3 linked regions of the Oryctolagus cuniculus genome follow. The protein of the gene in region 2 interacts with the protein of the main gene of each other region in a biochemical or structural test. Links are inferred from orthologs where the notes say so. Each region holds a gene or a part of one and is shown on either strand. Other genes may lie near its edges. The genes, in order: AXL, GAS6 and TYRO3.

Region 1 (2,888 bases), on a different chromosome or scaffold from region 2:
CACCCCGCCCCTCGCCCACGTCCGACTTCCTCTCTCCTCCCAGCCTTGCACAACGATTTGTTCTAAAAAAGTTTGTGGCCCGGATTGAACCGTCCCGGCTTCTCGGGAGCCGCCACCGGGGGGCGTCCGGGCGCTGCCAGGGGCTCCTCGGTCCGCTCCCGGACACACCCTGGACTGCGCGCCCAGGGCAGCGAGCGGACTCCCCTGGTGGACCCGGGACTACCGGAGGGGTTCTGTGCCCGCGTTTCTCTTCCTGGACTGTGGGTACCTGTTCTGCTCCGTGTCTCAGGATTTCTATCACTTTGGATCTGTTGCTCAAGTTTCTTCCTCTTCCCGCTGGGTGTCTGCCTGATTGTGTGTGTTTGGCCTCGATGTACAGTGTTCATTTAGACCTCTCTAGGGAGGAGACTTTCGTAGACCCCACCACACCCTTCCTGGTACTGACAGAGAAACTGAATGGCTGGGGAGAGGGGCCGCATCGCAGCTGAATGCAGATGAGAGGAGACACAAAGAAGATTACGAAGTTTTATGTGCTCTCAGCTCCTCCGGAGGCACCAGAGACCACACTTGTACACCGGCGATAAGGGACTGGCTCATGGGGGCAGCATGACCCAAAAGTAGGGAGCCGCCCATCCCCCGGGGTGGTGGGGAAGGAGGCATCCCTAATGCATTGCACAGGCTTGGGGGGAGGAGGAAGCGAAGGCAGTGCCTAAGAAGGGGAGGGGCACATAGAGGAACCCTATCAGGTTAGAACCCTGGAATCGTACCTAATACTCTAGGCTGTGGACCCTGAGAACTGAGAACACGCAGTCTTTTAACTGCAGTACCTAGAACCTTCAGATTTACAAATGTGGATTCTTGGGTCCTTCACATGATCCTAGGAAGGCAGAGTGCACATAGAACCTGGAGGTGTCCAATGTTAGGAACGATTAGAACTTTGGAGTCTAGTTAGTCATGGCTACCGGTGAGAGTCCTGCATGCAGAATCTTGGACCAACAGACCCTAGAGTGCCCTGAAACACAGGCTAGACCGGCATCAGGATCTCAGGGATTAACATCCAGACTCCTGGAGCATATGATCTAGAATCTTAGATTCCGAGACTAAGTCTTAGGATGTCACATCTTAGGACATGAGACCACAGAACGTCCATCTTTAGACTCTTAGAACTTCTGAGTTGCAGATTCTAGAATCCTGGATCATCTATGACCTCAGAGTCCATTAGGATATCAAACCTTGAGGAGACAATGTTTTGAAGCCTTCGTGTCCAGACTCTTATGGTTAAAGGATTTAGATCTGAGAGCCTTAGAATGTCAGCTTTTAGAAATATAGGCCTTAGGACCTCCATGTCTAGAATTACAGAATCTACATTCTTACATACATACCATTAGAAAAGCAAAATCTAGAGCTTTAGAACCTAAAATCTTGGGGTCTTATCAAGAATCTTAGAACCAGAAAATCTAGAACCACACAATCTCACAGCCTTAGAACTTCCTTGCTGAGAACTTGAGCACTTTTGAGTTAGAGACGTTGGAATTTCAGGTCCTTAGAACCAAGAACTCGTAGTATCTCTGAAACCCAGAACCTCGGCATCGAGACTCCTTAACCCTTAGAGTCCCGAGTCTCGGAATGCAAAGGCCTGGGAGTACCTTGAGAGACTGCAGTCGAACCCCTTCCTCCTACAGGTGGGGGTGCTGTGGTACAGGGAAGGCAAGGGTCTGTCCGGATGGAGGGGGGTGGCAGGAAGACAGGGCTGCAGTGGGGAGAAACCTAGGGTGGGAGAGTGGGGAGGGGGCTTCCCCCAGTGGCAGTGCCTAGCTTGGATCCTGAGAGGAAGTTCTGGGTAGAGGGTCATCTCAGACTCCATCCTCCTGTGCCGGGGGTGCTTGGGAGCTCCTGTCGGCAGGCAGAGCAGGGCCAGGAGCCGTGGAAGGGCAGAGGACGTAGCGTCCGGCAGGATGGACCTCCGCGGCCGTAAGGCAGCTGCAGGAGTCCTTCGGGTCGGGCTGGGTGTGCGGCTCTGCTCCTCCGGCAGCTCCACGGGGCTCGGAATGACCTCCGCCCTCGTCCATGTTGACGTAGAGGATTTCGTCAGGCTCCTGGGCAGGGGGCAGGGCCTTCAGCGTGTTCTCCAGGTCTTCCCGCAGCTCTGAAAAACTTGGCCGGTCTCGGGGGTTCAGCTCCCAGCACCGGGACATCAGGGCATACCTAGGGCAACAAAGTGAGGGGTGAGAGACTGAGCAGGGACTCAGACAGATGGCATTCTGGGAGTCTGGGGACACTGTATGACATGCAGAGAACTGGGGGCGTTTCAAAGGGCTGTGGGGAAACAGCAATGTGGGGGATCTTCCAGAGATTTGGAGATGCTCAGCAGTTTCTGCAGGGCGTCCTGGAGGTGGGATGTGGGAAGGGCCTGGGGACACCTGTCTGGTGTGAGGATCGGGCCTGGGGACACCTGTCTGGTGTGAGGATCGGGCCTGGGGACACCTGTCTGGGTGTGAGGATCGGGCCTGGGGACACCTGTCTGGTGTGAGGATCGGGCCTGGGGACACCTGTCTGGTGTGAGGATCTGCTCCAGCACAGCTTTCCAGGTGAGCCTCCAAGAAGAGACCCCGGCATCAGAGCCTGGCCCTGCCACCTAGAGGCTGCGCTGGTTTAAAACAAGCCCATAAAGCCTCCTTTCAAAGGATGGCAGGAAGTCTCCTCCCGCTGTGTGCAGCCAGAGTGTGTGTGACTTCCGAGACCAGCTCACACAGGCACTGTGGCTTCCTGCCTGCACTTGCCCTGGAGTCACCGTCCCAGTGCTAGGGAGGGGTCCTTGTGGCTAGGATCGGGGCCTCCGGCCTCAGCCCTGTGAGGGAGCCAATTAGAAAGTGACCTTGGCAGCCCCA
Region 2 (4,179 bases):
GACCACGTGTTTGGCTGTTGCACAACCGCGATAGGAGCCAGGTCCAAGGGCAGGGAAAGTGAAGGGAGATCGCAGTCACTGGCCGTCCCTCCGTGAGGCCTCAGCCTCGGCTGTGCTGGCTGCCAACGGTGTCTGGACGGCTGCCTCTCACGGGACAAGGGATGCAGGGGAGCCAAGGACCCCTGACGGGTGGACACCCAGTCTGCAGGCCCAGAGCTGGACTCCTCCGGGAGCAGCCTCTCCCTGGAAAAGAGGAGGGAAGGCGACACCCGGGGATGCAGCGTGCTCAGGACAGGCACGCATGGGGCAACGCCTTGGCCTGGGGCACGCACCGGTGAGGGGGGTCCTGGGAGCTGGGGAGGGGACTGAATCCTGGGAAACAGTGACTGCTCTGATTGGGCCACACTGGGCTCCCAGGACAGACAGGGAAAGGCCCCTGGCACAGAAACCAGTGCCAGGGGCCGGGCTGGGAGTGCCCCTCGCTTCCTGTCTTCCATGCACAGCTTTGCAAATAGAGTTGCAACTAAGACATACAAGCCATGCAATCAGGCACAGGAGCCAGACTCAGGGGTCCGGAGCTGCAGCAGGCAGGGCTCCGTGGCTGGGGTGGCCTGGCCTCAGCTCTGCCCCCACAGCCCATCCCATACTAGGCATCGCAATCCCCCAGGTGAGGGACCCCAGTGACCCGGCACTGCAGCTAGGACAATGCAGCGAGGACCTCCAGAGACCGCCTGCCTCGGCCGATCACCATGAAATAGACAGGAAATCCAGGGAAACCTCCAGCCACAGGGGCCTCGGCACAGCCAGGGGTGAGCATGCGTGTCAGGAAAGGGACCTGGGGGGCCGGCCAGCAGACCAGGCACCATGGTGAGTCACCACGTGGCCACTCCTGCTCCCACGTGACACCGCCTCATCCCACGGGAGCTCCACAGAGAAGCCCAGCTGAGCCCCAAACTCTGCTGTGAGAGGACCAGGTGACCACGCCTTGCAGCCACTGTGACTGCCACACACCCCTCCCTCCTGCGCAGACGCTGCTGTGACTGTGTGTGTCTCCCTCTCACACACACACACTGTCCACTCCATGCACACGGGGCTGTGACTGTCACACACACACACACACACACTGTCCACTCCATGCACATGGGGCTGTGACTGTCACACACCCCTCCCTCCTGCGCAGACGCTGCTGTGACTGTGTGTGTCTCTCTCTCTCACACACACACTGTCCACTCCATGCACACGGGGCTGTGACTGTCACACACACACACACACACCATCCCCTTCATCACACAGGGCTGTGACTGCCACACACCTTCCCTCCTGCACAGACGCTGCTGTGACTGTGTGTGTCTCCCTCACACACACACACACACTGTCCACTCCATGCACATGGGGCTGTGACTGTCACACACACACACACACACACACACACACTGTCCACTCCGTGCACATGGGGCTGTGACTGTCACACACACACACACACACCATCCCCTTCATCACACGGGGCTGTGACTGTCACACACACACACACACACACCATCCCCTTCATGCACATGGGGCTGTGACTGTCACACACACACACCATCCCCTTCATCACACGGGGCTGTGACTGTCACACACACACACACACACACTGTCCACTCCATGCACACGGGGCTGTGACTGTCACACACACACACACACACACACCATCCCCTTCATCACACGGGGCTGTGACTGTCACACACACACACACACACACACACACACCATCCCCTTCATCACACGGGGCTGTGACTGTCACACACACACACACACCATCCCCTTCATCCCACGGGGCTGTGACTGTCACACACACACACACACCATCCCCTTCATCACACGGGGCTGTGACTGTCACACACACACACACACATAGGCCCCGTCTGTTGTCCCCCACAGGATTCCGCAGTTGCGTTTTCTGGGCTGCAGCTGCAGGCAATTTCTGTGGGATCTTTGGGTTCCTCTTTCTTTGGGGACGCCCCGCATCGGCGCCTGTGCCCCTCACCCCCCAACCCGCAGAGGAGGCAGGGAGCCAGGAGGCGCTTGGGGTAGAATCCTGGCCGCTCGGTCACGGTTTGCAAACGGACACCTGGTTCCTTGCTGGGGAGGCGCAGCAGGGTGCGGACCCCCGACCCGCCCGGCCAGAGGAGGACGTGGGTCCCGGGGAGCGGCCCACGAGCTGCGGGGCGGTGCCCCACAGCTCCGGGCGCCCTCGGGCCGCGCACCCGCCCCGGGACTCCCGCGCGCCCGCACTCACCGTCTCCGGGTCGTTCTCGAACACCTCGCGGGCCTCCTCCTTGCTGCACAGCTCCTCCACGCACTCCCTCTCCAGGTGGCCCTGCTTGGCCTCCTCGAAGACCTGGTAGGCACGGCGCTGCCTGGGCCGCAGGAACTGCGCGGCCTCGCGCGCCCGCAGCAGCACGGCTGCGGGAGAGAGGGGCGCGCGGTCAGGCCGCGCCCGGCCCGGAGCGCGCGGGGTCGCGGGGCGCGCGCGGCACTCACTGGGCGCCGACTCCGAGGCCAGCAGCAGCAGCAGCAGCGCCGTGCCCAGGGCGGCGGCCGGCCCGGGCGCGGGCTGCATGGCGGGGGCCGGGCGGGCGGCCGTGAGCGCGCGCGGTCAGAGCTCCCAGGAGGTCGCAGGGGTCCGAGGGCGCCGCGGGGCAGCGGCTCCCGTCATCCTGTCCAGCGGCCCTGAAGGTCACATCCCGACCGCGGCGGCGGCCCGGGCGCGCCGGCTGCTCTGGGCGGGGGCGGCGCGGCCGGGGGCGGGGCCGGCGGCCGTGCGACTGCAGGGCTCGGGCTGGGAGGCGCGGGCGGAGCGCTCCAGCCGGTTTTCGCCGGGAAGCTCCGAGACTCAAGGCGAAAGCAGGTCACCCAGGACGTGGCGATCTCCACGCAGGCCGGCTGGGCCCGCGCGCGCTCGCAGTGGCCGCGTGTCCGGGACGCAGTGACCTCCCGGGGCGCGAACGCGGCTGCGTGCTCCGCGCCCGGCACGTCGCCGGCATCCTTGGAGCCTCCCTTCGTGGGCGCATTTTCTCAGGACGCGAAACTCACTGGAGAAAAAGAGAAACCGAGTTCGAGCCCCGCAAGGGTCCGAGGAGTGAGACTGCGCGATTTCCTTTCGTGACCTGTGTTCTCAGAACCCGGTCTCCGCCGGGGATCCAGGGGGAAGCAGCACTCGGCGTCCCGTCAGAATATTCTACAAAGTCACCGGCGAACAGAACCACAGCCAGGCCAAGCAGGCAGTGAGCCTGGGGACCCTGGACGCCACTCCAGAGAGTCCTGCCCCCCGGGACCTGCACAGCCCAAAGTGGTGATGGTGACGGTGACATGGAGATGGCGGTGACATGGCTGCAGCTAGCTCCTCCCACCTTCTGCAGTCGGGAGAATGGGAAGGCAGTGCTGGCAGCCTTCGAACCTGGTGGTTTGCGGGTGCCGTGCCCAAGCGTGAATCTGCCCAGGGGACTGAGCTTCGGAGAGAACTGAAAACCGAGCCCCTGTGCCCGACCCGGTGCCCCAGGACACTGCCGGGCAGTTGCCCATTGGCAAGTGGGCAGGCGTGAAGTGCCCCCCAAGGACTTTAGGAGCCTTCCTGCCTGCTAGGAGAGACCTGGGTGTGCGGCAGACCCCTCTCCTGCGCTCACTCGGCAGCCCCTCCCGGCGCGCCGCCGTGTGCCACACAGCATCCCGGCCCCTGTGTGCCACGAAGTATCCCGGCCCTTGTGTGCATTCTTTTCTAGGCTCCCAAAGCCGGCAGCCCAGAGGCAGGGGTCGAGGAGGGGACACAGCACGGTGATTGTTTGCGGCTGTTTCGTCACGTTTGCGTGGCTTTGTAGAAGAGATTACAGTGCTGTGTAACCCCCAGAATTATCCAGTCCACACGGGGTGGGCGTCTCTGTCCTCTGCTTCCATGGGACGTCTGCCTTAGGGGGTCCGGGACCAGCATGGTCCCACCCCGACAGAGCCTTCCAGGCCCCCGGCCTCCCCTTAGCTGGGATCCGAGTCCCAGTGGGTCCCAATGCCCCCTTCCTGCAGGGCCTTGGTTTAACAAAACCCATTCACATCTCTCGCGCGTTCTGATCGGCAGAGCTGAGCGATGCATAAAGCAAATGTGGGAGGCAATGACAGATCTCTGACCTCACGCGGCTTCGACATTTT
Region 3 (4,146 bases), on a different chromosome or scaffold from region 2:
CCGGGGGGCGCCCCCAGCTGGGGCTGAAGCCGCCGCCAGCAAGGCTGTTATCATTAGCGTAATTAATAAACAAGCACTGCTGGGGCCAAGCGGAGGAGGAGGCGGGCCCCTGCTGCCCAGAAGAGTCCCTGGAAAGATCCAGGGCGGTTGTGGGGAGGTTGAATGGCAGCCCCCCCGCCCCAGGGCCTCTGGGAAGGGTTGTCTGCGTTGGTCTCCCTGCGGAGGCGGGGTGGTACAGGCAGTGGCAAGGACACGGGGAGGGGAACACTTGGTGGGCTTGGTTGGGAACCAGCTCTGCATCTGCTTGACAGGATGTCTGTGGGCAAGGCCACCCCCGCGACTGCTGGTTTTCAGGCAGGCTGTGAGGCAGTTATTCATTCACTTAACTGACATCTGCCTATTTATATAAGGATTGCCTACTGTGTGCAGGGTGGCATAGAAATAATGGCTAATGCATAACTGGGCAGGGTGGGGACATGGCCATCTTTCACACCAGATTGGGGGGGGGCAGGGAAGCACTAGGCAGAAGGGACAGCTCCAAAGGCGGGCTGTTTGGCCGTGTAGCCTAGCGCGGGGACCAGTGAGTCTCAAGGTAGCACCTGAGACTGCAAGACCCCAGACCCAAGTTGGAAAATACGCCGCTAAGGTGGGGAGGCGAAAGTGGTCATTTTCGGGTAGGAGGATACTTGGGAATCAGAGGCGGGACATGGAGCAGGAACGTGAAGACGTGAGGTGAAAGAGAGAGGAGAGAGGCGCGAAAGGCACGCAAGGGGGAGCCGGTTCTGCGGGGGCAGCCTGCGTCCCAGCGACGTTGGGGCCCGGGGCTAGGAGCGTCCCGTCCAGAGGGGGAGTGCTGGATTCTGCCACCAAGAGTCTACACAGAAGTTGGGCTGCGTAGGGGCTCCGGCGGAGTTTCTGAGGCTCCGGAGTATTTGGGGAGGGGGGCGTGGCCGGGGGCCCTCCAGGGGCCGGAGTCCGATCCCGGCGGCCGGGGCGGGGGGTCAGCGACCGAGCGCGGCCCCAGGGCTCCGCGGGGGGGCGGTACGAGTTCGGGCTGCGGGCAGGCCGGGAGGAGGCGGCGGCTCCGCGAAGAACATGAATCAGCGGCGGCGGCGGCTGAGGAAGGAGCGCGGTGGCCCAGGAACGGCCCCGGGGACCCCCCGCGGCTGACGGTGGCGGCCGCGGCGCGGGTCTCGGAGGCACGGGTCCCGGCGCCGCCCCCCGGGCGGGCTCCAGCCCCTCCCCCGGCCCTCCCTCTCCTCCTCCCCCTCTGTCCTCCCTTCTTCTTCCTCGCTCGCGGGCCGGGCCCGGCATGGTGCGCCGTCGCCGCCGATGGCGCTGAGGCGGAGCATGGGGCGGCCGGGGCTCCCGCCGCTGCCGCCGCCGCCGCCGCCGCCGCCGCCACCGCCGCCGGTACTGCTGCTGCTGCTGGCGGGGCTGGTCTCTTTGCTGCTCCCGGAGTCCGCGGCCGTAGGTAGGGGCTGGCCCGGGAGGCGGCGGGAAGTGGGGGCTGCGGAGGGGCGCGGCCGGCGCTCGGAGCCCAGGGGCGGCAGCCGAGCGAGACCCGGGCCTGGGCGGGCCGGAGGTTTGGGTTGGGGGGTCGGAGGCTGGAAGGCCGAGGTGGGGGCGGCGGAGGGCGCGCTGCGGAGTGTTGGCCGCGGGGTCTGCGGTCGGGCCCCCCACCCCCAACTTTCTCGCGACTGGAGGCAGGGTGAAGGGAGGCGAGTGGGGTGTGGGCTGTGCGGTCAGCGGGGGGCGGTGGGGACTGGATTTTCCCGCCGTGATGTTCTTGGCTGTTTGCTCTCGTCTGCCCACCTCGCACGCAGTGGTCCCACTCGGAAAGCAGAGGCTGGGGCCGAGAACCCAAGGGGCACCCCATACCATTTAGAAACAGGGGCTGCGAGGATGCCCTGTCACAAAAACATCTGGGCACACTCAAGTTCCTGGGTCCGCAAAGCTTCCTGGAACCGGGTATGTTGGAGGGCAGGGGCTGAGGCTAGGCTGCTGGTCTCTGCCGGGGTAGCTTGATGTCCCATGGAGCCGCTGGGGCAAGAGTGCTCCATGCAGCTCCTGGCTCTCCCAAGCGCACACTGCACACCTCCGGGACTGCTAGAGGACGAGGGGGTGTGAGGCTGCCCTGCCTGTCCTGCGTCTGAGCCCGACACCAAGAAGGAGGTGGAGAAGAGGCAGAGGCCAGGGCAGCAGGCACTGGGCTGGCACCTCCTGAGACAGCAGTCTCTCAAGGAAGGGAAGGGAAAGACGGTGACAAGGCTTTAGCAGCTAAGAGGTGTGCATCTGATGCTCAGAGAGCCCAGGCATTTACCTAGAGTCACACAGCCAAGGACAGGAGGAAGCAAGACTGGATTTCAGCCATGTGGAGACTTCCCTGCACCTCTGCCAGGGAGCCAGGAGGTGTGTGCGTGTGGTGTGTGCGTGTGCATGCATGTGTGCACAGAGGAGAGGGGCAGCGTTCCAGAGGGTGGCCCTTGTTGATGTGACAATGGCTCTGCAGTCTTGGGCTAGCTGCTCAGGGCCCCACCCCTCTCTTCTGCCTCCCACCCTCCTAGCCTCCGCCCCTGCACACATTCAGGTATTAATAGAGCCGGTGGCTGCCAGGAAGGCTGCCATGTGTTTGATCTGACGTGGTTTTGTAGCCATATGTTCCCTACTTTGGGAGAGCACCCCCTTCCCTTCCGCAGCCTCCTTTCTTTGGCAGAAAGGGTGGAGGGGGTGCTGGTGCCGTCGCAGGGGCTACGCTGACTCCTTGGGTGGAGAGCGGGCAGCCTGTTGCACCGGCTGGGTGCAGTAGCCAATTCTAGGGCAGTGCGTGCCCCAGGGGCTGAGGACTTTCCCCTGTTTCAGCCCTCTCCCCCCTTTTTTTTGGGCTTTCCCCTTGGTGGTTGGGCCTGGATTTGCATTGCCCAGCAGGGAGGCTTGGAGAAAAGGGCCTCAGAGGTGGTGTTGGAGGGACTTGGTAGAACAGAAGTGAGGCCTGAGCTGTCTGTCCTGTGTCTCCCCGCCCAGCCCAGGTCCTGGCCACCTTCCCTCCCACGCTGGCCTGCCCCTGCTGCCTCCTTGGCTCTGGTGGAGAATCAGCCCGAAGCTGTGTTCTGGGAGGGAATAGGAGAGATTTCCAAGGACAGGGTCTCTCTCTCTGACACCGACTCGCTCTCGGTCTGACCCAGTTGGTGACACTGTCTCCCCCTGCCTCCCCCAGACCTGAAGCTCTGGGGAGCCCCGGTGAAGATGACCGTGTCTCAGGGGCTGCCTGTGAGGCTCAACTGCACCGTGGAGGGGCTGGACAGCCCTGACATCCACTGGATGAAGGACGGGGCTGTCATCGAGACCCTGGACGAGGTGTTCATCCAGCTGGACGATCGGCACTGGGTCAGCTTCCTCAGGTGCAGGACCAGGGGGCACGGTGCGGGGGCCGGCCGGGGCCAGGCTGTGCCGAGGGCCGGGGCTCTGCAGGGTTTTTGTGTTGGACAGCCTGTGGAACCCTTCTGAAGTGGGGGCAGGCTGAGTGCTCCATGTCCTGTTGCCCCTGGACCGTGGGAGGCGAGCCTAGTGTCCTGTTTCCGCAGCCTGAAGTCAGTGGAGCGCTCGGATGCGGGCCACTACTGGTGCCAAGCGTATGATGGGGGAGAAACGGAGATGTCCCAGCAGGTGTGGCTCACGGTCGAAGGTGAGGAGGCAGGCCACATGGATGCGCTGGCCTGGAGCAGGTGCTGCCTGATGCCGGCCGGCCGTATCAGTGGAGGAGAACTCCATGCAAGCCAGCTTACCCCACTGCCCTGTGGGGACCAGCTTACACCAGGCTCTGGGCCCACCCCAGACTTCCGATCTGAGAACCAAGGAGATAACCAGGACCCGCAGCCCAGGGAGAAAGGGGCTGGGGGATGCAGCCTGTTTCAGTTGTCAGAGCAACATGCCTCTAGCACCCATCTGGGGCTGGACTCTGTTCCGCCAAGTGGCCCGGCCAGCAGGGCGAGGGGTGGGGGAGGGGAGGAAAGCTCCGCAGCTGTGGGAGCTCAGAGCTGTTCAGCCCAGGAAAACAAAGTGACTAAGAAAGTAACAAAGGGCCGGGACCCAGAGCCTGCAGAACCCTGCTAAAGCGCCCACCCACTCCCCTCCTCCAGCCCCCAC

What was found.
Region 1: the proteins of GAS6 (region 2) and AXL form a complex in vitro, tested with the Homo sapiens proteins (2 studies listed by BioGRID and IntAct, with this or other methods). The link is inferred for Oryctolagus cuniculus from reciprocal best matches to the Homo sapiens genes GAS6 and AXL.
Region 3: the proteins of GAS6 (region 2) and TYRO3 form a complex in vitro, tested with the Homo sapiens proteins (2 studies listed by BioGRID). The link is inferred for Oryctolagus cuniculus from reciprocal best matches to the Homo sapiens genes GAS6 and TYRO3.

What each region holds. Positions count from the first base shown.
Region 1 is NC_091449.1:13,349,307-13,352,194, forward strand, and holds the end of AXL (tyrosine-protein kinase receptor UFO), read right to left. Parts: intron 2,206-2,888; coding exon 1,854-2,205; 3' UTR 512-1,853; downstream 1-511. UniProt on the Homo sapiens protein: Receptor tyrosine kinase that transduces signals from the extracellular matrix into the cytoplasm by binding growth factor GAS6 and which is thus regulating many physiological processes including cell survival, cell proliferation, migration and differentiation.
Region 2 is NC_091440.1:352,486-356,664, reverse strand, and holds the start of GAS6 (growth arrest-specific protein 6), read right to left. Parts: upstream 2,901-4,179; 5' UTR 2,603-2,900; coding exon 2,524-2,602; intron 2,446-2,523; coding exon 2,279-2,445; intron 1-2,278. UniProt on the Homo sapiens protein: Ligand for tyrosine-protein kinase receptors AXL, TYRO3 and MER whose signaling is implicated in cell growth and survival, cell adhesion and cell migration.
Region 3 is NC_091443.1:64,631,983-64,636,128, forward strand, and holds the start of TYRO3 (tyrosine-protein kinase receptor TYRO3), read left to right. Parts: upstream 1-1,314; 5' UTR 1,315-1,332; coding exon 1,333-1,474; intron 1,475-1,760; exon of another isoform or gene 1,761-2,372; coding exon of another isoform or gene 2,373-2,412; intron 2,413-3,217; coding exon 3,218-3,401; intron 3,402-3,584; coding exon 3,585-3,685; intron 3,686-4,146. Other genes in the region: acidic proline-rich protein PRP25-like, read right to left, coding at 694-1,314. UniProt on the Homo sapiens protein: Receptor tyrosine kinase that transduces signals from the extracellular matrix into the cytoplasm by binding to several ligands including TULP1 or GAS6. Regulates many physiological processes including cell survival, migration and differentiation.